Linked DNA regions of Oryzias latipes. The protein of the gene in region 3 purifies or fractionates together with the protein of the main gene of each other region. This does not show direct contact. Links are inferred from orthologs where the notes say so. Each region holds a gene or a part of one and is shown on either strand. Other genes may lie near its edges.

Region 1 (4,095 bases), on a different chromosome or scaffold from region 3:
CAGGTAAGCCTGAGGTTGAGAGGACAGGCATGTTACTCTCCCAGACGCCTGCAAACTGTTGTCAAACAAGAGTGTCTGAGCAGCTCACTCTGTGGTCCTAGAAATGTTCGTCCATTCATGTAAAAGTCCACAAAGCGAGCGCAGACACTCCTGTTTTACAACCGATAGACATCACATCACCTGGGTGACTGAAACCTACACAATCAGACGCATTTTGACCCTTGCTCTCTCAACCCATAGGGAGCAGCGTCTCAAAAAAAAAAAACGTCAACAAGTCGGTCAAGTGGTTGTTTAAAGTTAACATGAAAAAGAAACCAAAGAGTTAAGAAACTCCCCCCGCCCCTCCTCTTATCACAGAACCATGGCAAACATTGTTCTTTCTAGAAAAGAAAAACTGGGATTAAGTGATGCACACAATTAAGACACAAGAACTGAGAAGACAGCTCAATGAAATGCAGTACACAGGAGAGCAGTTCAGATTTACAAGCCAAGCAGCGCTTTTGCAGTTTTTTTTGAAATGCAGGACAGACGAGTACTCATCTCACCGCCGTGAGACACTTACATCGCTGCGCACATCGGGCGACGGCTCCTGAGGATTGAGACACGCATGGGCCACTTTAATGACATGTTCCAGCTTCCTGGGCTGCTCTTCAACCTTTGCAGCGAGGAAAAGTGCGGCAGGAGAAATCACCTGAGGAGGAGGTGATAAGTTGTGACTTTTATTTCCACCGGTAAATAAATCTTTAAAACAAAATGGTTTTGGACATGAAAACACTTACATTTCGGTGAAATCGGGTGAAGGACTGGATCATGTAGAAGCGATGCATGTACACGATGGCTGTGTTAATGGTAAGTTGGGAGCTGTCACGCCAGTTAAGGACCATTGGAAAAACTGTGCAATCCTAAAACGCCACCGGAGAGAATTTTGCTAAAGTGACACAGACAGAACGTGTATCCTTAAAGCTGCGGACACACCGGACACGCGATGGACATTCTTGAGTGTAATCGCAGCATATGGTCTTCGCACTGCCCAAGTAGGGAGGGGCTTCTTCTCTCTCTTTATTACCATTTGTTAGCACATGTCTGCCACCTACTAGAAGTTTGGTGCGAAATGTCCAAGTGGGGAAAACCTCACAAAACTTGCTCCAGGCTTTTTCTTTCACAGCTCTATTCCGACATGAAAGACTTGGTTCATAGAATTCTGGCTGGGCACAAACTCTGATAATTTCTCTTTTAAAATCATCAAATGGACGGTACAACCGTGAATCAAAAGTGACGCCATCCATACCCAACTACCAAGTCCGAGATTTACACGGACTTTTTTTAATTGGAATAGGCTGCATAGCACACGTTGCAGACATTAACTGTAAATACAAACTAGACATACTGACCCCTCCTCCCTTATGTTCCAAACAGGAAGTACCCCCTGGCTCCAAGAAGCCAAAATTCCCATAGACTTTTATAGAGAAATAGATGGCTATTACTCAGTCACACTGCTTGTCACTCAGAATAACAGTTCTTGCTCTGCTATATATATTTTTTTACAGGTTCTTGCAAATTTATTTCCTGGTCTTTTTTTCTTAATCACAATTTATAAACTGACCAATCAAATGTCTCGGTAAAATGATTTGGTGCCCACTGGCCCCCCATCTCCAACCTTTGACAGATTCTCCCAAGCCACTTTCCGTGGAAGTGGTGTGGAATTCAAACATGCTTAGGATATAAAAGCCCCTCCCTTTCTTCTTAAATGGTGTGCATCTAATTAGCCAGTCGTGGCGGTTAAAGAAATAAACAAGTAGGTGGTGCAGATTACAGTAGATTACTAGCTCTTGGGAGCTTTGTGTGTCCTATTCAGAGCTCTTCTGGATCGCAGTCTGAGCATGCCTCTTAATTTGAAAATAAAACGTTTAGCTTAGTTACATTCATATAAACAAAAAAACTAAGAAATACAGTTAAATCTGGGAATTCTTTAGCAACATTCACGTGTTTTATGAGCTTTCCATAACTTAGGATACCCTTTGGTTGGAGGGCCTCCTTTAAATTTCACCGTGAGGCCCCCCAGAACATATGAAGCGTCCATGATGAGGATAATAAAAATAGCCCATCATGATTTTTACCACCACACCACAAACAACGAAAGCCAGGTTGCAGTACAGTAGTATAACCTCAATCCCTCACTCACAGCCTCTGAAGAGGCTTTTCAAGCCTACAAATAAACAATTTTCCTAAAAAGTTGATTCAATTTCAATTTATACTATAACTGTGCTGTTTATTTTTTAGCAGAATATATTCATCTGTTCAGAAAACTTCTTCCTAGTCATTTGCGGCTAGTGAAGCTAACGTCCCGGACAGGCCTGTCGAGCTACAGGCCTTGGTGGACCCGGCTAGCCTGAGACGCCGCAGGGAGATGTTAACGTAGAAACAGCGACGGAAAACAACCGCCATTTAGTCAACAACACACGATACTAACAAATAAACAAGAACCCGTCGAACAACACAAGAAATACCGGCCACGCTCTTGGCCGAGCAGGTTACACTTTGCTGGCTAGCATGCTAATGCTAGCTACGTGCGACGCAGCACGACAAAAGATACACATTGAGCCGCTGTCCCATGTCCTGGATCAGGTTCGCTGCCTGTTGCCTGTACGACAGCTCCTTGTCGGGGTCTAGTCCAGCTCGCCGAGAGGGGTTGTTGTCGATCTCCTGCCTGGTGAAGTACCATTTATTATTATTGCTTGCAGGGAGAGAACGAAACGAAGCCGCCATTACTAAGAAGGACGAGAGTTTAAAATTTCTGCGCGTCACAGGAACATACGTCACAGAGGGCGCTGTTCCTCTGGTAACCGACAGATGTCGCCAAAACCAATGTGTTACTAGGCAATATGGGTTTTTGCATTTCCTTCACAGATTCTGTGTTGGATTTTTTGGATACTTTTTCTTCTCTTTTTTGCAGTGTGGTGGTATAAATATTACTCCATAAAGATACAGCCCCGTTTCATTCACAGTGCAACTGATTGAAGGAGGTTTTCACTCAAATCTATCTTTCCTTAATAAGTCTTCTTGTCCACTTCGCAGAAAACCAGCCCCAAAGCATAACGTTTCCACCACCATGCCTCACAGTTAGTATGGTGTTCTTGGGGATAAAACTCAGCATTTTTGTTCTCCTAGTGCTCCTCTGGATCAGCCTCTGGCATGATTTAACAAACATGGACATGTGCTGGAGGTGGACCATTGGAGCTTCACTTTCTGACTTTCTCAATCTACTGATCAATATTTGTTCCAAAACTCACCTGTGGTCATGAGCTCTGGGGGATGACTGAAGGAACGAGGTCCTGAATACATGAGCTTCCTCCATCGGGTGGCTGGGCGGTCTTGTAGAGATAGGGTGAGAAGCTTGATCACCTGGAGAGAGCTCGGAGTAGATCCACGTCTCCCCTAGATCAAGCAGAGCCAGATGAGGCGGCTCAGCCATCTGGTCTGGATGCCTCCAGAGCCCCTCCCTGGTGAGGCGTTCTGGGCATGTCCCACTGGGCGGTGGGCCCAGGGAAGAACAGGACACGGTGGAGAAACGATGTCTCTCAGCTGCGCTGGGAAGGCCTTGGTGCTGACTGACCGCAACCTGGGCAGAATAAGATGGAATGATGGATGGATGGATGGATGGATGAAATGATGGATGGATGGTTGGATGGACGGAATGATGGATAGATAGATAGATAGATAGATAGATAGATAGATAGATAGATAGATAGATAGATAGATAGATAGATAGATAGATAGATAGATAGATAGATAGATAGATAGATAGATAGATAGATAGATAGATAGATAGATAGATAGATGGATGGATGGATGGATGGATGGATGGATGGATGGATGGATGGATGGATGGATGGATGGATGGATGGATGGATGGATGGATGGATGGATGGATGGATGGATGGATGGATGGATGGATGGATGGATGGATGGATGGATGGATGGATGGATGGATGGATGGATGGATGGATAGATGGATGGATGGATGGATAGATGGATGGATGGATAGATGGATGGATGAAATGTTGGATGGATGGATGGATGGATGGATGGATGAAA
Region 2 (4,102 bases), on a different chromosome or scaffold from region 3:
ACTACTTTTTTTCCCATCTCAACACAATTTGACAACACAGAAATCAACTTGTGATTCACAGTTTTTAATTCAGCAATCAAAATAAAATGTTGAAACATCCAACCTACATTTAAGACACCAAAAACGACTGTTTTGTGACATTTATATATGTTTAATATAAAAGCATTACTAATCTCATGGGTTTCAGCAAAACAAGTGAAGGCAGATTACATGTATTGGCGTTTGGGTAACCTGTGTGAATGTGTTTGAACTGTTAAATTAAGAGTATAGCATTAAAAATAAAAATAAAAGACAAAAAAAAAACATTTTGGTGACTAAAAATTCTAAACCTTGTGATTAGAATGAAAGTCAGTTTGCTTACTAATCTTTTTTTTTTTTTTTTTTTTTTCTAACTTGTTCTGTCCAACTTCTGAGCAAACAGATTAGAGCTGAAGGCTTTTTGTGTTGGACAGGTTTTACTATCACAAAAAGAGGTTATATAGCTTCAAGAAACTAGAGTGTAGATTTGTATAAACCCCTTTTTGTCGTATTATTTTTTATTTATTTGTTACATTTAGTGTGTGTGGGGAGGGAGAGGGGAAGAATGTGAGGGGAGGGTGGAAGAGAGTAAAAGGAAGAAAGGTGAAAAGGTGGGGGATACAAGCACTGATTTGACTAAGTTATTAATTTAAGCTGTAACAATTATACCAGATCTGCTGGAAAGACGAATGTTACATCAAAGGTCAAAATCTGACACTAAGATGAGCGGAAAAAAAACTGTCCATCAATACACTGTAGGTAAGGAGGAGGGATGAAGCAGACAGGGAGCAGTGTGGCAGTGTGCACGTGCACGTGGGGGTGGAGATACATGCATGCTGCCGACGTGAACCGTGTGTTCATAAAGGGAGCCAGATCCTACCCAGCCAGACCAGCCAGACCAGGAGAGGGGAGGAGAGCCCCCCAGGCCAGAAGCCCCCCCAGCATCCGGACCCAGGCAGCCCGGGAGGGGAGGAGGAGGGGACCGCCCACCCCACCAGCCAGGCACAGAGAGGGCCCCCCTACAGGGGCCCCCCCAATGCCCAGAGGCACAAGCGAACCCAGTGTCCGGCCCCCAGGCCACAAGACAGGAGCGCTTAGCCGTACCAGGCGGCAGCCATGGGGGCCACCGGGCGCCGGACACCGAGACAAAGGCCAGGGACGAAGCCAGGGCCCCGGAACCCATGAGCCGGCCACCACCCGACCAGCGCCCCGTCCCCGCAAGCCAGCCCAGGCACGCGACCCTAGCAACCCAGGGATCGCCACGCACCCGCAGCCACAGCCACCCCCCTAAAACCCGACGCACTACAACCCCCCCCCCGCCATAATATCTGACCCCCCCTCCCCAACCCTCTCAGTGCCCTCCCCTCTCTGTGATTGGGAGGGAAAGCCCCAGAGGGTCCCAGCGAGCCAGCCCCCAGGTCGGTCCTACCCATGCACTCACACACACATACTCACAATCATCTGGTTACCCTCCCTACCCCCGCCGCCAAGCAGTAACCCCCCCCCCCCCCCCCCCCCCCCAGCCGGCCAACCCCCAGCGCCGCATGCCCGACCCCTCCCGCAGCCGACAGGACACCCATAAGCCTGGCCGCCCTGAGAGGACCAGGCGGGTGAAGACCGGCCGCCCCCCCCCCCCGACCCCACCCATGTATGGAGGTGTGGGAGTGCTGTGTGTGTGCTGCAGGTAAAATAGGAGGTCACCAGTGTGGGGGGCTCCACCGCTGCCAAGCCGCAAAGCCCCCCACTCCGGAGTCCCTCTGTGAGTGGTGTGTATTTGCTGTGTGTGTGCTGCTAGCATGCAGTGTGTGTGTCTACAGAGGAAGTTAAAATTGTGGGGGGGCCAGCGAAAGGTGAGCACGGATGTTTCACCGTGCCCCCCTCCACCAGACCCTCTCCACAAGGCCCTAGATGAATCAGAGTGTCTAATATGCAAGTAAAAAGCGGGGAGGAGGGCGGGTGCCAACGAGAACCCAGAGAGGGGCATCCCCAGTGAGCCCCGCCAGCATACCCCTCCCATCCAGATCCCGGGGCCCTATGTGCCTGTGTGCAATATTTGTTTGGGTGAGAGCGGGGAGGAGCGGGCGGATGGGCACAACCGGGGGAGAAGGCTCCCCCGAGCGACCGGCCCCCCAGCCGGCCGCGGTAGGCGCCCCCCCCCCTCCCAGAGCGGCCGGCAGCCAGAAACGCCAAGCGTTTCAGAGAGTAGAAACCTCAAATGTAAAGTTTCAGTCCTCGAGGGCAGGTGTCCTAGTCTGCCTGCTGTTGATTAGCAAAACACACCTGAGGTAACCAGAATCAGAAGAAGGCCGTTTAATGAACACAGCAGAATGCATGCCCTCGACGGCTGGAGCTACAGCTGTTGTTTTCCCCACACATTTTACACAAACTTTCCTTCCTGTATAAACTATTTAGCTGCCTGGTTAGCACTAAAGCAATGAACTGTGTTTCAAACCAAACATTTGCGTTCAATTGAAACACAGGAACACCAAGGCTAATAATTCGGCTAACTCGGTTAGCCGCTTCCACGGCCCCAAACAGGTCAAAAACGTTCCTGTAATAACCTTAAAGCACTTTAAAAATAATGCAGCGTGCAGCGCAGTCTGCACTTTTAGAAGCAAAGTGGGCTTCTGTTCGTTCGTTGTAAGGTTAAACATATAATTAGCGAAAGAACCGCTAACCTGCTCAGCTTCGTCCGCCATACTGTTCGAGCATGCGCGCGTCGATTCCGGTACGCAGGTTGCCAGGTCCGGTGAAATTAAGATTTCAAACGGCAACACACACGTGCGTTTCGAATTATCCCTCGATTTCCAGTTCAACAAAGTTGAATTTTATACAAATAATTAGTTTACAATATATATCTATGCGTACTTTGAGAATGTGAAATGTTTATTATTAAAACTTATGGTATCAACATCCATCCTTAAAAGACTAAATTTAAAGTATGTGTAAATCCATACATAGTCCTTACCTAAAATTTAAATACAACACAAACATCTCCTTGTTGCATCCCTGCCACTTTTAAATTGAAACAACTGAAAAGACTAAACTATAAAGAAAAGAAATTCACCTTTCTCTCGACGCGTTGCGTGTATGTTCAAACCTGGCAACGTTATCCAGTACCGTCCTTTAGCGTTTTCCAGAGCTTTCTGTCCTCACAGGACACTGTCGTGTCATCCGCGCAGAGCAGCGAGAAGGTAAATTAATTCATAAATATCTGTTCATTTTGAGGTATTTGTCCTGTCTACACTAATATTCCAGAGCGTTTTGAGTGGTAGTAAAGCTGTTATTGGGAATTCAGTGTCTAACGGGTCTGTTTAGAAATATTCCGTATGCGAAATGTTAATGTAAACGAGAAATGAAATGTAAATAGTTACACATAATGAAGCTTTCCGTTAGTGAGAAAACCGTTAAAATTCTTTTAAGAGAGAATATATTCCTAAAATGTAATCTGCAGTTTATTCAAATATTTATTTTTAATGATTACACTAAATAATTAATCGATTTATTAATTGAAACTAACAGACCAAAAAAGGCTATTTTATGTTCATTGATTACTCTTTTCAAAGTCTTGCATTTAAAGATAAGAAATCGTTTTAATAACAGTCTAAAATTATAATAGGTGGACTTAAAAAGCAGAAAAACGAAATAAATTGCTTTTCAATTATTATTTTTTTTATTAAAAATAACAATTTCTTGTATACAGGATACCAACCAAGTGTTGGAAAATAAAAAGCAAAATGCTATTTAAGTAAAGATAAAATGATGCAGCGGTTGTGATTTATTGCGTCATTATTTTATTTTGGGGAAAAAACTATATTTATTGAACATCACTAGTTTAGACTGGTTAATGTAACTAAATGGGTTGCAGACGTTCTGTTTGTGATGTCATACACAGCCTCTGGTCCTGTGAGGCTGCTATTCTCCGCGTTGTGTTTGTAGGGTTACAGGTGTGCGCCTCCTCTCTTCTCAGGACGATCCAGTTCTTCATACTGGATTTGTCAGTGGGAGGGGAGGCAGATCAGAGCAGTGGTACTGCCCATTCCACCCTCAGCTACATCATGGCTTTGTGATGGAAGAGATCCTG
Region 3 (3,500 bases):
TGGATTTGTGCGTGATTTGTTACTCACATAATACGTTTTGTGTATAAGTTAAAAAAATGTAAAATGAAAAAAATACAAAATGCAATTTACGTATGCACAAATTAAGATTACAACAGCTCGGAACTACTTACACACAAACACATCTTTAAAAAACACGCACGAATCCCTTGTTACGCACACACAAAGCCAAAGTTACGCACGGATCTACCGTGAGACTGTTTTGACGTCTCACAAATTCGTCCGTAAGTGCTGCGTTTAAATACCAGTGGAATGCTCGGTCATTAGAATTTTCCTATCAGCCTTCCCTTCTTCACGTATTTCCTTCAGTGGGTGTAGCAGGGCTTAAAAAAACTTTAAAGGAAAATAAAAATTATTACCTGAGAATATGACGTTCACTTTTAAAGGCTAATATATATATTAAAAGTATATTATTCTCCGAGACTCCGAATTGATACAAAATGCGTAACAGGAACGACCAGTAGGGGGCACTGTTTATTTTCTTCCGGAAAAATCAAAGGCAGTCAAACTGAGAGAGTCACGGGAAGAACGGCGGCCCATCTCGGTGGTCAGCGCCCCGAAGTAAGTAGCCTCTATGTTCAACACTAACATCTACTGTCTTCATGTATTGATCGAGTCATTGTCTGGATACGTTTAGAAGGGAAGGCTGATAGGAAAATTCTAATGACCGAGCATTCCACTGGTATTTAAACGCAGCACTTACGGACGGATTTGTGAGACGTCAAAACAGTCTCACGGTAGATCCGTGCGTAACTTTGGCTTCGTGTGTGCGTAACAAGGGATTCGTGCGTGTTTTTTAAAGATGTGTGTGTGTAAGTAGTTTCAAGCTGTTGTAATCTTAATTTGTGCATACGTAAATTGCATTTTGTATTTTTTTCATTTTATATTTTTTTAACTTATACACAAAACGTATTATGTGAGTAACAAATCACGCACAAATCCAAATTTGTGCACAAATCCTAATTTACGCACGCACAAAGCAAGAATATGCATACACAAATCCTAATTTATGCACAAATCAAGAATTACGCACGCAAAAATCCGACTGAGTCTAATTTCTCTCCATACCACACCTTATGTACATGAAGCCTTAAAGTGGTTGTAGAAACTTGTGCAGTTATGTGAGACTGCAAGAGTTTTGAACCCGGAAGCCTGAAACAAGCGTTTACGCGTGTTTACAAAGACCACATGTGTCAAACTCAAGGTCCGGGGGCCAAATGTGGCCCGCCATATCATTTTATGTGGCCCGCGAGAGCATAAAAGTTTTTAATTTCTTAGAATAAAAAATACAAATTGGTGTGTATTTATTCATATCTAGGGGGAATTGGACTTAAAATATCTGATTGACCAACTATACATTAGGACTTAAACACTGTTCATATAACCTAACCTGTCAGAATCAAATTTAAAAGGATTTATGCCAGAATAACAAACAAACATATGTTTTCTATGAAACTGTTATTGTCAATTTAAAAAGTTTAAATAAATAAATAAATAATGAGTTATTTAACATTAAGGAGTAGTTACATTTATTTTTCATTACATTTAGTTACATGTATAAGTTATATCTGGTGCTTTGAGGACAGCCGCCATGCTGATGTGGCCCTCAGTGAAAATGAGTTTGACACCCCTGACATAGACTCTTCATTGGAAGCTTGAACGCGCCTCGGCGAGGGTGGTGTGAACGTAACTTCAGACTGACTGCAGGAGGGACTGAGTTGTCTAGTTATAATGGTGCATGCCTTTACTGCAGTGTCTGTGTTATTTCTGCATGCTCTTTTTCTTTAAACGGTGGAGCAAAATGCTCTCTCGGATTACCACAAAACAGCAGTTCAAGTACTTGCATGAGCATCTGACTTGTAGTAAAAGGAGTTAAAAGACTGATGTGAGCAGCAGCTTAAACACTGCATCCAAGATGGCAGAGACTGTGGCACTCTGCAGCCTCACAATGATCTCAGGTGAGAACAAGAAGGCCCGACTCTCCAGTCTCTGGTCTCAGCACTTTGGTGGAAGCAGCATTTTATGCTGTTAAATATTCATTAAGTATTGACTTCTGCTGTCTTCTAAGGAAACTAAAATACTGTCCGTACAAATAGATGAGTCGTTATTTTTTACTACTAATGTTTCCATAACAACTAGATTAGATTAGCCACATATGTGCTGACTTGCTAATTGACTTAGCATGCTCCTGTTAGTTGATTAACACGAACAAAAAAAAAAAAAGCCAAGATTCCAACAGCTATGAAGACAATGGAGGACATTCATACAAACAAAGATCCTCATTATATACACTGACATGTAGACAAGAAGAATGTGCAAATTCTCTTTTGAAGTCTGGAAGCAGAATAATACATTTCTGTGATTTTTTGACATAGCTAAGACATTAGAAACACGTGAAAACTACGAAGATTAAAATGGAATTGCCCAACATCAACGTACCTTGATAAAGGAGACATTGGCAGGAAATTGCCCGGGCTGAGGGGTGGGTGTTTCGGTCAAAGGAGGTGCAGCGATGGGTCCTCTGGAGATCCGTAGAGACACGGGAAAGGAGCAGCTCACTGACTGATCAGCGCTTTGCTTTTCACAGTCTCCTTGTCCTGTCTCTCCTGTTTTGTCATCTTGCCTTGGAGTCCCTACATCATCTGTGTGACAGAAGCCATTGTCACTCTCAGCCTCCGCAGTGCCTCTTTGTCCTCTCTCTGCTTTGCAGTGCTCCTCTCTGCGCTCGGTGTCCCTGTGCTTCTCGTCTGTCCCCGTGCTGACATCCTTGTCATTTCTTTCTTCCTGTTTAGCAGCTTGTCTGGCCTCCTGGGTTTGCAGCTCAGACAGATAATGCCTAATGTTTTTACGAGCTGCATGGATCAACCCACCATCTATATCGAGCCCCAATATGCGTGCAGGCCGCAGCATTTTGGCAATGTAGAGTGTTAAGTGACCTGAATTGCACCCCAAGTCCAGCACATCTTTACCTTCAAACCACTCCGGACGCAATACACGAACACGCGGGTCTTCACTGTTGCCCGGGTTGCGATAACCATAATATTTATTGTAGTTTCCATACTGGAACTTCTTTTGGTGTCCTTTTGCCTGACTGTGAGGTTGCTGGTACGAACGTGACCCCCCTCCAGTTTTGGGACCAATTTTTGGTGTGTGAAAATAATTTTGTGCTCCGCCTGTACCACAACTTTTGTCATTTGGTGCTAATTTACCGCTGGGAGTAGAATGGGTGACAGGAGGATCAATTTTGCCTGAGTTGCGCCTTCGTCTGCGTCTTCCGGCGTGGTGGCTTGGCCCCCCCGACAGGGGGCAGGTATATTCTTCGACAGGTACAAACAGCGTCTCATCTTTGCCGCTTGCTGCGTTCTCAGCTGTGCTCTCGTGGGAATCTGCCGTGACACTAGAGAAACTCATGGACTCTTTAGAAGAATCGAGAACCGAACAAGAGCCTTGCGTACCTAAAAGTTGTGTGGAGGAGCTCATTT
Region 4 (4,204 bases), on a different chromosome or scaffold from region 3:
CCAGCTGTCAGACATCATACAGAAAAGTCAAAACCTCAAACCTTCTCTTCATTTTTCTACCAAATTAAAGATTTGTTAGATTTTACGTTCATTCTGTGGCGCCCTCTGCTGGATTAAACAGTAAACTACTCATAACGTTTAGTTTAAAGATCAGCTCTGATCATCTTAAGATCTAGTGTCAAAGCCTTCCCAGTGGTTCTAATTATGATTACCCAGTTTGTTGTTGTGGCGAAACTGTTGGTACAGAGCAACCCCGCCCCCCTTTCCCTCGGAGCAGGGAGCTTGTTGCCCGCCCACCATATTTTCAACGTCACAAATACGATCTTAATCAAAAGGCATTTTGTCTTCTGCTCCTGATTCATTCTTCATACGTGTTCTCCATCATGAGAAAGATGCCACAAGAATATTAAAAAAAAAAAAGATCTTATGGATTTCTTTGCTGTTTCCCAAATAACCAAATGCAAATTTTCTGTTCTTTTCTACAAATGTTAAAAGATTAACCTTTAATTCCAGCACCCAAGTTTTCATCTAAATACTTATATTTTTCTGTCATTTTTTAACTAATATTTAACCTGAGAAAATTCACTCGACAAAGAATCTACTTTGGAATTTCAGGAAATTAAACATTTTAAAAACAAGTCCAGATATAAGACTTTTTTCTGAAGAGCTTAGAAAAGCGTAAGAAAAGATGTTACTGTTATGGTGGCGTGTCACAGTTTGGTAAAAACCCATTCCATCTGAGGATTTCTGCAACAATCATGTACTTTTCCTGCCGTTTATCACTTTTTTTCTACAAACTAAACAAGTAAAATGTTTATGGTAATTTCCTCTGAGTAAAACACAACAAATGTATTTCTTTTAAAATCTCATAATAAAAGATGACAAAGTTAAACAACAACCTTCATCTAAACAACAAGAGTTTCTTAGCAAAGGTCAAATTTCATGAAATCTAAATATACAAAGAATTATGTAAAATATGGAGAAGCAACACCGGTTTGGTGTGAGAGCTTTAAGGGTCTGAAATCTCAATTTTTTAAACAGATTTCTTTTATTCTACATGTGCTGCTATCTAAACAATAGAACAAAATGGTTTGATATGTTTTGGTAAGAAAAGTTGTTCCAGATTTAGAAATGCTAGCCAACTTTCATGCAGTATCAGGCCGCTGCAGCGACTGACTTACAGACTTAATTGCTCAGTGAAGGACAAAAAAGCTAAATTTGGAACATTTTTAGTTGTGATTACTACGGATAACCCTGATCAAAAAATGAGCATCACAGATAAATACTTAAAAAAAATAAGTGTTTAGAGTTGTTTTGACTTATTTACTGTTTAAATAACAATGTGAGACAACATTTATGATTTGGTTTGAATGACTTCATTGGTTCAGAGAAATGTTTTGTTATTTGTGCCCAGAATAATCTTATTGTGAAAAACCAGAAGTGTTTTCATTTAGAAACTGTATTGAGTTTGTTTTTGACTCTTGGATGAAGCGGAAAGTTCCTGATCAATAATTGCTGAACAGGATCGTTTAGCAAACTCAAAAAAGCCTCCGTCATCTTTGCAGAGGCTGTCACTATGCGACAGGAGCCATTTGACCTTTTTTTAAACGACTTTTTTTTATTAAAATGTTATATGATAGGATAGTTAGAATTTTTGAAAAAAATTGTAAACTGGTACAAGAAAAGCTGCTAATTGGTTTTCCACCAACAGTCGTCTAAGTTAATGCTCAGAATAGAAGACTGAAAACACTGTTGGTCATTTAGAAACATGTATAATAATAACAAACTGAGTACGATAAAAACACTCTTGACTAATTTAAAATAGATTGAATAAATAATTGCATTTACTTTTGAGTAGTTTGCCTCTGTGTTGCAGCTGCATTTTAAAATCCCAGAATAAACCCTGATATAGTTGTGAATGAAGCTAGAGTTGCTTTTACCTGCATGTTCATGTATCCGTCCACAGACACCAGGTAGCCTTTGTACTCCATTCCCCACTTCAGCTTCACCATCACTGGTTTCCCTGTCAGGCCGTTCAGGAAAGGCTTTGGGTTGAGGGGCAAACTCTGCGGCAGAGGGGATTGAAACCTTACATCAAGTCTGCAAACATGACGCTTTTCCCTATGAGATATTTAGAACTTTAAGTATGCGGGTTATTCATGTTATGGACAGTCTCCACGTCTGATTTCTTTACACCACCAATCATCAACAGGAGCGACTGAAGAACCAATCTGGACTGCATTAAAAAAATAAATTGAATAATTGGGAAACAGTACATAAATTCGGTTTTGGAGCAGTTTAATTATTCAAATGACCTATATACTTCTATTAATCTGTTGTATAATGTTCGACCACACTACTACCTGCAGAGGAACGTCATAGTTTTGTGTTGTTCCGACGGACGTTCATTTTCTGATACGGCAACACGTTACCCAAAACAAACAACACTTTAGTAAAAGCTCACTTGAATATCTAACCGTTTCATTTTTAAAGTTTTGTTTTTAGTGTAAGTTTGTTTTCCCCTACGAGCTGTGTAAACCAGTTATGAATGGGATGCTAACATGGCTAGCATAAACGAGCTAACTCTCTTAAATTCTTTGTTTTAACAAACTTCAATAAACCCAAAGGCCGTGTGAAATTACATATTTGAAGAGTTACTCACCATTTTGCTCGATTAAGTTTAGACCCGATTAACAGTAAATTAGAAGTTTATTATGTCTTCGTCACAAAAACGTTTTAGCTTCACAAACTAGAAGCACGCTTTGCCGCCGACAGGAAACGGAAGTGGCATCGAGCTTTTCGCCGCGCCTCACGTCGCCCCCTGGCGTTCTGGATGTATTAGTGCAACAAAAAGACTCGGACTATATTCTGATCACATTCCAGTGCATCTGCTTTATAAAGTCATAATAAAATAATCATAAATAAAATCAGTTTACAAAATGACACAACATCATTCACACAATTAGTAAACAACAAAAAATAAACAAACTATGAAAAAAAACATAAATAAACTATTTTATAACAATGAGACAAGACCAAATGTCAAAAAATAAATAAATAAGTGAAATTAAAAATGATTTATAATCAGATAATATAAAACCCAATGGAATTATAGAATTGTTGTCATCAGCTCCAGGCTGCTGACAACATGTGCTGACGAACTCTCACATTCTGCTGTTTATTTGAAAGGCTTGCATTACCGAGCTTTAATGTAAGAAAATGATTTTAGTTTTGTAAATGTTTCATTTGAGCCTGGAGCTGGAGAAGATGCCAAAACTGTGGATGACATCTCACCATACAGGCACTCACACTCTGTATCAACGCCAGGTAGATTTCACGTTTGCTACAGAGGAATCATGGTGCGAGGCGGTTACCAAGGAGGCAATGGCTAAGTAAGTAAGCTGAGAAGTGTTTATGACATATAGATTGTTGGGAAAACAGTGCGAGAATCAATGTGTGAGTTGGTGGGTCTCATCTTCAGAAGATAGATAGATAGATAGATAGATAGATAGATAGATAGATAGATAGATAGATAGATAGATAGATAGATAGATAGATAGATAGATAGATAGATAGATAGATAGATAGATAGATAGATAGATAGATAGATAGATAGATAGATAGATAGATAGATAGATAGATAGATAGATAGATAGATAGATAGATAGATAGATAGATAGATAGATAGATAGATAGATAGATAGATAGATAGATAGATAGATAGATAGATAGATAGATAGATAGATAGGGTTGGTTTCCCTTTTGGCTTTTCCCATCAGGGGTCGCCACAGCGAACGAGTCGCATGGTAAACTTGGCAATGTTTTACGCCGGATGCCCTTCCTGACGCAACCTTCTCAAAGCAACCGGGCTTGGGACCGGCACAGAAGTAGAGAAGGGAACAGGGAGCAGCCCGGAGTCGAACCCTGGTTTCACGGACGGAAGGCGCCGCAAACCAGCACGAGCTAAACCAGCTCCCTATATATCTATATATATATATATATAAAATTTAAAAAAACGCCCCTCTCACCCTCCGTGGGTGCTTTCTCCTCCAAGCTCGGGTCCTCTACCAGAGGCCCGGGAGCTTGAGGGTCCTGCGCAGTATCTTAGCTGTTCCTAGCACTGCGCTTTTCTGTACTGAGAGGTCTGAGGTCTTTCCAGGTATCTGTTGTAACCACTCCTCCAGCTTGGGGGTTACTGCCCCAA
Region 5 (3,967 bases), on a different chromosome or scaffold from region 3:
AAAAAAAAAAACAGCATTCAGGAAGCAGGGTGTACCAAGAATAAGGAAAAGTGGACACACCATTTATCAGCATTGGTTAGGAACCACTCACCTTGTGCTTTCAGAATGGCCGCTTTGCCTCTTCCTGCTCCAGAACCCTGGTTCTTGTTCTTCATACTCTTTAACATTGGAGCGTTCTTTAACATGTCTGGTAAGATCAGAAAGCGGATCTTGCTGCCACGAATGTACACTTGTTCCAGCTGGGCAACCCGCCCGTCACGATAGGTTACTGTGATGTTGGACATCTGTTGGGACATAGAAATAAATGGTTCCGGTCTTAGATTCGTAAAATGGCTTGATACACGTTTACAGTGTTCAATGGAATGCAGGTTAACATTTTAAGTTATCTGTTAAACTTGGCAATGCAGTTCTCTATTTGAAAACACATTTGTAGATACTTCATTTAATCCCTTAAAATAATTTCTAACAACCTTTTTGATTTGTCATTTGATTAATAAGAAATCTACAATTATTAACAGAATATACGTTTTAGAATATTTAGCGTTTTGTTAAAGCCTTCACACTTATCTTTAGAGTACTTTTAAGACACACTGAGCTTTATCCACCAAAATTTCTGCTTTTAAATGAAATAAACAGATTTGGAGTCTATTAAACTTTTACTGCACTAATGAAGCTTGAAAAGACTATCAGCATTGACAGGATGTTTGGGAAATATATTTAGTTACAGTACTCAATACTTTAAGAAAAATGGCTTTAAATATTTCAAGGACAAATGTGCATATATGACCAGATAACTATACAGATTTTTTTAGGGGGGGGGGGTGAATTGGGTCAGTTAATAGAAAGAACACAACTTAAATTTACAAAATAAAATAAAATTGTTATTCCAGATTTGTTTGTTACAGATGTGCAACCAAAACTAGAGACCCAAAAAAAACAACAAAAAAACAAAGGTCATAAAGGCAACCTGTCCCAAAACTTTAAAATAATCCAACATAATTTCCTTTTTCCACACAGGGCCGTTTGGTTTCTTAGTGCTGTGTTTCTATTTACTTCCAACGGTAATGATAAATCATTTATGGTTTTTGTTTTTCCCTACAGGTCACTGACCTGATGCATATTAGTAAAAGGGAGTATGTTTTGTTGACTGTAAAAGCACCATTGATCTCATTGAGTAATTAAGTCACTACATCAATCAATCATACGTTACACACGTGTGGTTGGCTGAGATTTTGAGGGACAAAGAAACCGGGAGAGATTTTTCTTCGAAGAGGAGTAACCGATTTGTCTTTCGCTACAAACATGTTGAACAACTGTTTTTTAAAAAAAAAAAAGAAAGAAAGAAAGTATAACATGAGTTTGTCTCACCGCAATTGTTTTACTAAAATACTACATTCTCAACAAACCTACTCAAATAGTTCTACATCACCTGCTTGTTATAATTGGTAGATTCTAGACTTATTCCTGTGAAAGCAAAAAAAACAAATGTGCAAGTCTAAATAAGAGTTGGTGCAATAAACTGCATTAAAATACCTTTGGCATTTTTGTTTCCAAAAAGTATGTGAAATAAAAGGGGGGGGGGGCAGCCAACAATAAAATGTCCATTAAAAAAACATTCTTGTGTTCTTTACACATTTAAAATGTTCTTCTCAAGTGTGGTACAGTGAGTTGAACTCTAAATAGAAATTTACGGCATGCTTTTTTTTTTTGGGGGGGGGACGTTACTCCATACAAACCTGGCAGTTCATGTTGTCTTCAGCCTCGATCAGTTTGCCCCTGTAAACCTCTCCAGTGTTGGTTTCACAGGTCACAATGTGTCCCTCTGCTTCATGCAGGACCTTGATTGGTACGCCAATGGACATTTTGGAAACGGTCTTTCTAGGCTATTAAATTAAAAAAAAAGACAAAACATACGGTAAAGGGCACTGAAACATACAGTATTATCACAAAACCTGACGTACGGTATTGTCTTTGTTTACAGAAGGCTACTGAAAGTCTACAACATGCAATTCATTCATCCAATTTTATGATTATTATGTTTGCATGTGTCTGGCTTGGAAGTAATATTTACTGTTAGAACATACTTAAGACTTGTTTTGTGCTGTAAATAAGGTAATTTACACCCACAAAAAAAAACGTACAAAAAAGGCACTTAAGTATAACAATGTTTCCATTATCATTAGCTAAGCTACCTCGTTAGTGATTTATTTCTTGTACTGTTTATCAAGACGGTATTATTTCTACGTAGAGAAATCAAGTGCTGCAGAAAACTCTTCAGTTTTGGATTACACAGTTTAATCAGGTAAATGTTCGGGATTACTTTTAAAACGTAGTAACGCTAATGGCTAGCTTAGCTAGCCACGTTAGCTAACTAGCCACCAACTACTGGCCTCAAGCGAAACAAAACATTAATTAAAAACTGTGGGAAGTAAACCACCACAATATATTTAACGTTAATGCTTCACACCCAACATTGTTGGGACTCAAACGTGCAAATTATTTTAGACACAAGCTAAATATCAGGCATGGATGGAGCGATGGACATATTCGAAACTTAGCAAATGGGAGGCAATGTAGACAAAAAGCGATAATTCTGAATCACATTCACAGCTAAATACCAACCACAATATAATACTTGCTAGCTTTAGTAGCTAGGGTTTAAAGTCTTACTTCAACTCCCTTTGAATTCTTGAATTGTTGTTCTTTTTAGCGGCTCAGCAACGTGGGCTAGTCGTTGAGCTTGGCGTTTGAGCCTTTTTTCCGCTTACCCACAATGCACCAACAAAGCGTTTGTTTCCTGTGGCGCTTTTCGCCGTGCATTATGGGACATGTAGTTGATTCTGATTACCTAAACCAGGTGTGTTAGGTCAAACAGAATGTAGACTCACTTGAGTCAGCCAGTTACCAGAAAGATGGTTAAGGAGAAACAACAACAACAATAATAATAATAAGTGTTATTATTTTTTGTACTATTATTATTCTTTTTTAGTAGTATTGGAAGTAGTAGTAATAGTAAATAAAAACTAATTTTCATCAAAAGGCCTCAGAGAGGTCCAGGAATACCAATCATTATAGGACATTGGACTTTCAAACAAAAATAGAAATCATGAAACGTTAACAGATTAAAAATGTACACAATAAAAAATGACTTGTTTATTTGTCCTGAATTAGATTAACATGAATTTAATTTGATGATTACTCATTGGAAAAAATCAACTATAATGGAACACTGGATAGATATTTGTAAAAATATTTTATTGATTCCTTGCAGTGGTGCATGTTTTTTTTCCATAATCCTCCTCACTATGTTTTTTCTCTTTTCCTTATTTGTTTTATGTGAAAGATTTGAATCCCGAACACGTGTATAGCTGGCACATATGCTTGTCAAAACATCCCAGCAAGAAGAGATTATGAAAATGAAACGACTCAATCAATTCAAATGGATTTTTTTCATCGACCACAGAGAGCTATAAACATTTACTCTACATAGTTTTTGAATGAACAGACTTTACGTATCATATACATACCCTTGCGTGTTTATTTATGTGGACTAGTCTTTTTTACCACTTCAGTGAGACGCATAAACATTGCTTAATGCGGGGCTTTCTCACGCTGGAAGAGGTTTCTAATGAGGAAAGACAAAGCATAATGGGATAATAAAAGACATCACCAAATGAACCATCATTTGATTTCCATTGCAACAGGGTCATTGACTGGCGTCAGCAGACAGGCTACTCTGTAAACACCTGTACCTGTGCAGCGTGTGGTCATGTGTATCTACTTTACGTGTCCATGAGGGTTTCAGGCGTTTAATGCATGCTAACCTGACTCTGAACGTAGTTCCAGTCCAGCCATGAGCAGTGACATTTGCAGAGATCAAACAAGCACTTGTTTTGGGTGGATGCTAACAGGCCTGTTTACACTGATGCCTTTGAATCATGTCACTTAGATGTTGATCTGGGTTGTC
Region 6 (3,774 bases), on a different chromosome or scaffold from region 3:
TTTAGAAAAATTGGTAACCCTTTGTTTTAGTGTCAAGCAGCTAATGTTTTTAATTTTAAAATACCTTAAATTTTTTTCCTTTCAACGTGGAAACTTTTAAACTTGATAGAGCTCAAGAATAAACAAACTGAATCCAACTTTTTAATATTTTATGAACAAATACTTGCCTGCTAGTTTATAACAAGTTTGCCAGCTCATGAATGGAAATTACGCATATCTTAAATATTCAGCTGACTTTAGGTCTATCAAATTATTAAAATAGTTCAGCATTTATGTCTTCATCACCAGCATTCCCAACATTGTTTAGCCATTATAGCTTTTTAACAGCTAAGCTATAAAAAAAGCTTTCGAATTCCTTAAGATAAGACTAACCCTAACATTTAAGATATTCTTTTTTTGTTTAGCAGCTCATCCTCCATTACAAAAACACTAAATTCTTGCTGCATCTACAGGAAAGAACACATACAGTAACATTTCGTAAAACCAAACAAATGCACGGATAAAAAGAAAAATAGTTTATTAACAAACAAACATCTCAAAACCAACAGACTTTCATTGTGAATGAACTACAATGGAATGAGAAAACAGGAGGCGCCGCTGTGCTCTGCTCATACTCGCTCCAAAGCCTCCAACATGATGATGCTGTTTCCTCGGATGACCTTCGGGAAGACAAAAGGAAAACAGATCAGATCTTTTCACGTTTACACATTTATTTTTACACAATTGTGTGTTGAATAAGAGAAATGTTCTAGTTTGGGAAAAACTACTAAACCCTTTCCTGAGGCTGTCACATCAGGAAAAACCACGAACCTGCCAACGTTTGGTTTCACAGATATTCACTGGAACAGGCAATTGTTATTTGTTCTTCCGTAAAGACAGGTCAGTTTTGTTTCAGATAAACTAATTAGACATCTTTGGAAAAGCTGGAGTATTGGGGGGGGGGGGGGGGGGGGGGGGGGGCAGTATAATATATTTAAGAGAGATTTTCAGTAGGCATTGAGGCTCCCCTGTTGGTCTGGATGTATTTATTTTAAGTAGTAATGAACTTTTGGCTACACATAAAAATGTGGAAATGTTTTCCAGTAACCCTGCTTTATTTGCAGCTAGTCACGTGGATCAGGTGGATTTCATCAAGCAGAATCTGCAGCTTCCCGATCTAGAAAACCAGTAGCAACTAGAATACAGATGCCTGGAAAACAAACGAGGAAGTCTGTCTTATCAATATAATGTTATATTTACAAGAGAAAGTGGATAGAATAGGTTCTTTGACTAAAGAATTTTGAATAAACTTCGAAACAAAATTTGTTTTTGTAGAAAAAATTAAAAATTAGTTGCCGGAAATGATCAAAACCACTAAATGACCAACTGGGATTGCTTTAATTTATTTACTTTGACATGTTCTTGTGGCATTTTTCTGATGAGGACATATATTTAAAAAAAATATGCTTAAAATTGCTTTTCTGCGTATTTCTTTATTCAAAATGTAGTGAATTAAAAGGAGTTAAAAAAAAAGTAATTAAAACAAAAAAAGTGTATTTGTGAGGTAGAAAATTTTCTTTATCAAAAAGATGATTTTTAGAACATTTACATTTTTGTTACTAACTAGCAGACCCCTAACATATTTTATTGGTTCATATTTCTTTATAGGATTGTCTGGTTTGTTAGGAAAACAGTTGTGCATGTTTTTATAAATCTATGTAGACAGCACTCAAATTGGTTCAAATTGTCAAAAGATGGAATTGCTAATAAAGATAAAAATAAATAAAGAGTATGATCTTTAATTGAACCTATTCGTCCTGCTATTACGGGTGGGGTAAAACATTGAATTAAACTATTCCCTCATGCTTCACAGTTCTGCTCGGACACTGACCACCATCCCGATGGTGTTCTGCTGTCCCCCGGGGCCCATCTCCAGACAGTCGTCCATCACCAGGTTCATGAAGGGGTCGAACCCTCGCAGGATGCCCTGGACGTGTCTGCCTCCATTCAGCTTCACTGAAGAAAACAAAAAGAGCAAACTGATGAACATGAAGGCTGCTAGCTTAGCTAAAAGCGAATTTAATTTCACAAGAAAAAGCCGGCGAATGAATAGAAATATAGTGTAATTTTGAAATATGTATTAAATAATGAAACGAGAGTTTTAACTCACGGGAAAGCTTTTTGTCCATGAATCTGAAAGACAAAAACATTATTTAGATTTAGCTTCAATTCCTAGCTGTTCCGGCTAACGGTGGCTAACATGGAAACATACTACAATCTCGCGAAAAAGACCGAAGCTATCAGGCCTATCATCTTTCAAAAACTTGCAAACTTACTTCTTTAGCTCTGGTGGATGCGCTTTGCTCATGGTGTCTGTATTTTAACGAAACAAAGTCGTGTTTCAATTCACAAAACCGCGTAGGAAACGCGTGTGGACCGGGAGACCGGAAGTAAAACCCTGTGACCTTTGCTGTGCTGCGCCCTCGTGCGGCTGGGAGGAGTAATCTGGTTTAAAAAGGGATCAGCCAAAGGCAAATAATACTATTTGCAGTTAGAAAATGACCAAAACAACTATAAAAATACATGCACATGAAGTGTGTGATATATTTTATATATATATATATATATATATATATATATATATATATATATATATATATATATATATATATATATATATATATATATATAGAAAACCTTAAAAAACTCATTGTATTAATAGATTTTTATTTGTGCAAAAGCACAGCTGATTAGTTTTATTTTTTTTTGGTTGAACATCTGAGCTGTAATGATCAAAAGCAAAAATAAAATCAAACATACATTTAAAAAATGCGACAGTTTGTTTTACTTTTTCCTTTACAAAGGAAGATTGTGAAAAATTCCCAAAACATTTTTCAAACTTTAAATCATCACAGTGACACTGAAAAGAGCCGCTGAAAATAACTTTAGAGAAACAAAACTTTGAGGCGGCTGCTTTTGTTTGCATAGAAAGGAGATACAATCCACGTTTCCTGCTATCAATAAAGACATCAAAAACGTTTTTTATGAAGCAAAGGTTTATAGGAATTCATGCTAGACCCTCAGAAAAATGGAAATCTCATAAATTCGCACTCACTAAAAAAACAAATGGCTGAGATTCAACCCAAAATCTACCAAAGAGAACAGCCAGCCATTCAAGAGGATGTTAGCATCCATTACTTCATATTTCCTCACTAACATGACCTGAGCTACCTTAACTTTAAGAGGTTATGGGAACATTTTGAAACTATGATAAATTTGATAAACTATGATTTTTACTTTTACAAGCAATTTTAAAGAAAAAAGAAAAACAGCTTCATTCATCCTCAGTAGGATGTTGTTAGCAAGTTACCATGGTGATGTGCTCATGGAAAGCTGTCCTGACAAAAAATAAAATGTAAGAATTAATAATTATATATTTGCTGATTATTTGGAAGAAAACAGCACAATTTGACAAAACACATTCAGTGTATTAAAGACATAAATGATGATGTTAATCAGTGCTTTCCCTCTCCAGGAAGTTTAAGTTTTGATGGGAAAATAGCTTTTGAATCTGCCAGGCGTTGATTCAAATTGTAACAACTTTATTAACAAACAGAAAGCAGAAGGCATCGCACTTTGATGAGTAAACAAAAAATCAAATGTTCTCTTCAACCCTGAAGATGATAAAGCAAAAAAAAAAAGGCAGCTGTTGGACACATTCTGTTTCCCATCAGGCTTTGCTGGCCTGCTGTGCCAGCGCCTCCGACTCTCGGTCCTCCTCCACCCGGACCCGCA
Region 7 (4,009 bases), on a different chromosome or scaffold from region 3:
TACCAAGGAGCATGTTGGGAGAAGAGCAAGTGTCTCGACTGTCATGGTACAACTGGTTGCCTACTTCTGGATAGCAGCCTGGTGACCGCGTACCACAGTCATTTCTCCGCGTGGTGCATTGGTGTACGGGGGTCCACGACCATAATGTCTACGTACAAAGTATGGTGGGTAGCGTCGTCTGCTGGGGTAAGTGGGTCTGCGCTGCTGTGGCTGCGATTCTCCCTCAGGGGCGCTTTCTCCCCCGTCTCTGTTTCCTTTGTCACGCACTCCGTTGCCAGGCTCGCCTTCTCCATCACTTGGGTAGTTCTCTGGGTATTCTCCTCCACGAGGGGGCCCCCTTCTGCGTGGGTAACGCCTGTAGCGGTTCCTGTCAGCAGCGTATTTGCTTCCCTGGACAGCCACCCCTCCAGGGCCAGTGACATTTGCTGCCTCTGCACCCTGTTAACAGATAAGTTTAAAATTGACAACATGCCTGCAAACATAACCAAATTCTTCCCAAAACATTACCTTCTCTCCCTCAACTACATCAAACTCCACAGTCTCTCCGTCCCCAACACTGCGAAGATACTTCCTTGGGTTGTTCTTCTTTATGGCTGTCTGAAATCATCAACAATTGAAAAGTGAATTAGTCGAAATAAAAAAAAAATGTTTTAAGTTTCCAAAAGGTTTGGAAAATAATAGGTCACCTGGTGTACAAAAACATCCTCTTTTGTGTCATTCCTGAACAAAAAGAGAAAAAAATAAAAAGATTCAGTTATACCACACATGACTTACTAAGACAACACACCTCTGAAGACAGATTGCAACTAAGCCAACAAGTGCAAGGATTAATGAAGTCTTGCAGGTTACAGTGTGCATGCAGACCACTAGAAAAAATAATCAGGTCAGCCACGTTAGCAAAGCAATAATCATAATAGGATTGGGAACGCTGGAGGTGGTCATTTACCTATTGATGAAACCATATCCATTCCTGACGTTGAACCACTTGACTGTACCCAAGACTTTTGTTGCTGCAATGAAAAACAGAGCAACTCAGTTATCAAGTGTCAATATTACTTCTCTAAGCTGCAAAGGTAATTTTAGAATAGCAGTAATGAAATTTTGAAAATATGATAATAGATTGGGAACAGTCAAAGCATCGCACATAATAAGATATGTGCAGGAAAAAACTAGCCATAGTGTGGACGTTAAAAATAACTTCCAACTGTCGTGCTTATTATAGATGCTGATGCTTAGGAGAGCCTGGCGCCAGCTGCTCCCGGTGTGAAGCTCCGGCCATGGTAGAAAACAGTCCAATTACATTGACTGCAAATGTGTGGAAGGAATGCGGATAACACGGGGAACAGAGCTTACGACACGTCAAACTTCAAAACAAGTAACCTCGCGTTTAGCAACTGCATTTAGAGAACTCGGACATTAAAGACCTACTGCCCCATTTTAAGACGCCCAGTTCACGACGTGAGCGTTCACACGTGGTAGGGTCGCACACGGACAGACCGAAAAACAAGCCGAGTTGGCTTCTTAGCTTAGCCGTGTAGCTAAGAGTTACAACCATGTGGTTGGAGTATAGCCAAAAAGCGGAAACCAACGTAATAAACCCATCAACATCTTACAGATGTTACTTCGAAACTACTTAAGCAAGCGCTTTTAGTACCTAAACCGAGCTAGAATAGAACTGTAACGTATAAACGGATCGTGTAACGGCGGACATTTTGGGTGGCCTTTTCAGCCATGTAAATAGCCAGCCAGCTAGCTGGCTAGGCTAACATTAGCATCGTTAGCAACTGGAAAGCTATCGTGAAATAATTAGGCCTCACCGAAAATGTAAAAAAAAAATCGAGTTAAAGCTTAGGACGGTTTGAATACAAATCCCAAAGCGTTTATTATTGAATATATCTAATAGTTACAAAATAAACTTGAAAACAACCACCTTTAAGCTTTGACAGAGAATACAGGGATTCGACACTTGTGCGAACAAAGGGATAGTAAGCAGCTAGCGTCAGTTGCCGGTGAACTTGTTAGTGTGAACTAACGCAGGGTATTTCCAAGTTTAAAACATTTATTCGTCATTTTTTCGGGTTTTGTTCGTACTTTTGGCGGTTAACGGTGAGAGATAAAGGTCTGCAACGTCTGGTAGTAAACATGCTGGATCTGACATAAATTACTCCTACGATCATCCATGTGACGGCCGTTTGGATGCATGCGTCTCTTTTTCGCAAATGTTTTCCCACCAAGACAGAAAATCATGGATTAAGTGGTTATTTACTACATTTCTAAGATGTGGATTTTTCCTAAACTTGTGACATCTCATAGTTAATGAGAATGATACGCTATTAATGAATAACCGTTCCCAACTGACAGTTTTTAAAATGTATAATTATATTGACAGTTGGTATCACAATTCGACGTACGGTTTAACGTCCAACTACTTAATAAAGTTGATCGTAACGGTCATTTTACATTAACATAATTCAACGGCTGTTTCTGTCTCGTTTACAGCAACATAAACCACGTTTAGCATCTAGTTAGCTAAGTGGAGTCGGCAGTCTTACCGATGACCTTCTTATCCCCCGCGGAAGCTGCAGCTGCCGGGCTGGATGGGCTTTCCGCATCATCGGCAGCAGGCTGCGGTGGTTGTTGTTGTGTCTCGGCCTCGCTGCTCATAGTTACTGGTTGGTAATGGCTTCTGCCGGCGGCGGCTCTCTGCTATTTTTCCCGGTGCTAGATGGTAACGTGGGCCGGCGGTGGTGGGGGCTACTGCCTTCGGGCTCTCAGCTTTCCTCTTTCCGCTCCCGTTGCCGATCGAACTGGGCAGAATCAGTAGTTGTGTTGGGGAATGTTCTTGGTTGTGGCCCCGCCCATTCGAGCTTTTCACTGGCTGGAATTATTGACTGAATGCGTCACAGAAAAAAGGCGTCCTCTGATTGGCTAGACTACTGTCAGTCTAGTTGAAGCGACGCGTTTTCACGAACGGTTGGTTAAAGGTACCGTACCTGTCAGTTTTCACCGCCCCATTGTAATCATGTGTCAGATGCATAAAACTAAAAAAAAAGACGCATAAAGCTAGTGTTGATCCACGTAAACCCCTTTTAAAACCGTAGTTAAACAACATTTTTATGGCATTATTAGGAAATATTAGCCTACTTTTAAATATTGCTGGAGGCTAACAATTTATGTAAAATTTCAAAAAGTTTGACTCCCACAAAAGAATCAGAATATATTGTAAATTTAAAAAAACATCCACAATATTGCTTTTTTATTTTTACTTTTAAAATGAATGGTTGTTACCTGTAAATAGTGATGATTAAACATCAAAAACCAAACTTGATAACCAAAATACAAAAGATCCAATCTGCAAATTTTTAGATTTGACTTTTTGCAAAGAGAATTAGATTTTGTGAGGTGAACATTTGTGAGGACCAACCATTCAACCTGCATTCTTTGAACCCTTATAACATTAAATGCACATGAACTGTTTAAGGGAAATGCTTATTGCATATTAATTGTATTTTCTACACATAGAACAAAAGAAGAGCTTAATAAATCTTTAACAAAATGACAGTGAATTTCACATGTGAAAACCATGCACCATTCTTTCCTAGTTAGCTTGGCATAGTTGGGATGTCTTGTCTTGTAGTCCCTCTTGATATTGAATTTCTTGAAAACATCCAGCCTCTTGCATGTTTAGTATCTTACTGAAAAAAATACACAAATTTCTACTTGTCCTGAAAGCAGCGACCCCCAATTGTCAACATTTGTTAAATTTACAGTCGACATTTTAGAAATGAGCTAAAAGGTATTGCAAAAGGGTCACATCATAGTGTTGCCATAGGTTTAAAATGGTTTATAAAGTAGGCAATCATAATCAAGAAATCATACACAGTTTCCTGGGAGCACATTTATTTTTATAAAAGGTACCAGCAGGCTAGAAGAGGCTTTCAGGAGGGCTGCATTTGGCCAGACTTTGTAGAGATCTAGAAAGAAACCTTTGACAGGTTTCTGAACCCAC

Evidence for each region.
Region 1: the proteins of mepce (region 3) and ccnt1 purify together in Homo sapiens (affinity purification with mass spectrometry; 3 studies listed by BioGRID and IntAct, with this or other methods). This does not show direct contact. The link is inferred for Oryzias latipes from reciprocal best matches to the Homo sapiens genes MEPCE and CCNT1.
Region 2: the proteins of mepce (region 3) and lsm3 purify together in Homo sapiens (affinity purification with mass spectrometry; 3 studies listed by BioGRID and IntAct, with this or other methods). This does not show direct contact. The link is inferred for Oryzias latipes from reciprocal best matches to the Homo sapiens genes MEPCE and LSM3.
Region 4: the proteins of mepce (region 3) and snrpf purify together in Homo sapiens (affinity purification with mass spectrometry; 4 studies listed by BioGRID and IntAct, counting the BioPlex papers as one, with this or other methods). This does not show direct contact. The link is inferred for Oryzias latipes from reciprocal best matches to the Homo sapiens genes MEPCE and SNRPF.
Region 5: the proteins of mepce (region 3) and snrpd3 purify together in Homo sapiens (affinity purification with mass spectrometry; 3 studies listed by BioGRID and IntAct, with this or other methods). This does not show direct contact. The link is inferred for Oryzias latipes from reciprocal best matches to the Homo sapiens genes MEPCE and SNRPD3.
Region 6: the proteins of mepce (region 3) and snrpg purify together in Homo sapiens (affinity purification with mass spectrometry; 3 studies listed by BioGRID and IntAct, counting the BioPlex papers as one, with this or other methods). This does not show direct contact. The link is inferred for Oryzias latipes from reciprocal best matches to the Homo sapiens genes MEPCE and SNRPG.
Region 7: the proteins of mepce (region 3) and ybx1 purify together in Homo sapiens (affinity purification with mass spectrometry; 3 studies listed by BioGRID and IntAct, with this or other methods). This does not show direct contact. The link is inferred for Oryzias latipes from reciprocal best matches to the Homo sapiens genes MEPCE and YBX1.

Annotation. Positions count from the first base shown.
Region 1 is NC_019865.2:25,916,051-25,920,145, reverse strand, and holds the start of ccnt1 (cyclin-T1), read right to left. Parts: upstream 2,801-4,095; 5' UTR 2,767-2,800; coding exon 2,594-2,766; intron 862-2,593; coding exon 780-861; intron 692-779; coding exon 563-691; intron 10-562; coding exon 1-9. UniProt on the Homo sapiens protein: Regulatory subunit of the cyclin-dependent kinase pair (CDK9/cyclin-T1) complex, also called positive transcription elongation factor B (P-TEFb), which facilitates the transition from abortive to productive elongation by phosphorylating the CTD (C-terminal domain) of the large subunit of RNA polymerase II (RNA Pol II).
Region 2 is NC_019863.2:18,333,618-18,337,719, reverse strand, and holds the start of lsm3 (U6 snRNA-associated Sm-like protein LSm3), read right to left. Parts: upstream 2,801-4,102; 5' UTR 2,718-2,800; coding exon 2,697-2,717; intron 1-2,696. UniProt on the Homo sapiens protein: Plays a role in pre-mRNA splicing as component of the U4/U6-U5 tri-snRNP complex that is involved in spliceosome assembly, and as component of the precatalytic spliceosome (spliceosome B complex).
Region 3 is NC_019872.2:14,589,097-14,592,596, forward strand, and holds part of mepce (7SK snRNA methylphosphate capping enzyme), read right to left. Parts: coding exon 2,458-3,500; intron 1-2,457. UniProt on the Homo sapiens protein: S-adenosyl-L-methionine-dependent methyltransferase that adds a methylphosphate cap at the 5'-end of 7SK snRNA (7SK RNA), leading to stabilize it.
Region 4 is NC_019881.2:20,375,325-20,379,528, forward strand, and holds the start of snrpf (small nuclear ribonucleoprotein F), read right to left. Parts: upstream 2,801-4,204; 5' UTR 2,666-2,800; coding exon 2,663-2,665; intron 2,067-2,662; coding exon 1,941-2,066; intron 5-1,940; coding exon 1-4. UniProt on the Homo sapiens protein: Plays a role in pre-mRNA splicing as a core component of the spliceosomal U1, U2, U4 and U5 small nuclear ribonucleoproteins (snRNPs), the building blocks of the spliceosome.
Region 5 is NC_019870.2:16,128,909-16,132,875, forward strand, and holds the start of snrpd3 (small nuclear ribonucleoprotein Sm D3), read right to left. Parts: upstream 2,801-3,967; 5' UTR 2,671-2,800; intron 1,884-2,670; 5' UTR 1,863-1,883; coding exon 1,737-1,862; intron 285-1,736; coding exon 92-284; intron 1-91. UniProt on the Homo sapiens protein: Plays a role in pre-mRNA splicing as a core component of the spliceosomal U1, U2, U4 and U5 small nuclear ribonucleoproteins (snRNPs), the building blocks of the spliceosome.
Region 6 is NC_019865.2:4,866,768-4,870,541, forward strand, and holds snrpg (small nuclear ribonucleoprotein G), read right to left. Parts: upstream 2,462-3,774; 5' UTR 2,348-2,461; coding exon 2,316-2,347; intron 2,173-2,315; coding exon 2,150-2,172; intron 1,996-2,149; coding exon 1,871-1,995; intron 660-1,870; coding exon 609-659; 3' UTR 501-608; downstream 1-500. Other genes in the region: zinc finger protein Xfin, read right to left, coding at 3,710-3,774. UniProt on the Homo sapiens protein: Plays a role in pre-mRNA splicing as a core component of the spliceosomal U1, U2, U4 and U5 small nuclear ribonucleoproteins (snRNPs), the building blocks of the spliceosome.
Region 7 is NC_019865.2:7,798,494-7,802,502, reverse strand, and holds the start of ybx1 (nuclease-sensitive element-binding protein 1), read right to left. Parts: upstream 2,801-4,009; 5' UTR 2,665-2,800; coding exon 2,553-2,664; intron 1,011-2,552; coding exon 947-1,010; intron 721-946; coding exon 687-720; intron 598-686; coding exon 508-597; intron 439-507; coding exon 157-438; intron 1-156. UniProt on the Homo sapiens protein: DNA- and RNA-binding protein involved in various processes, such as translational repression, RNA stabilization, mRNA splicing, DNA repair and transcription regulation.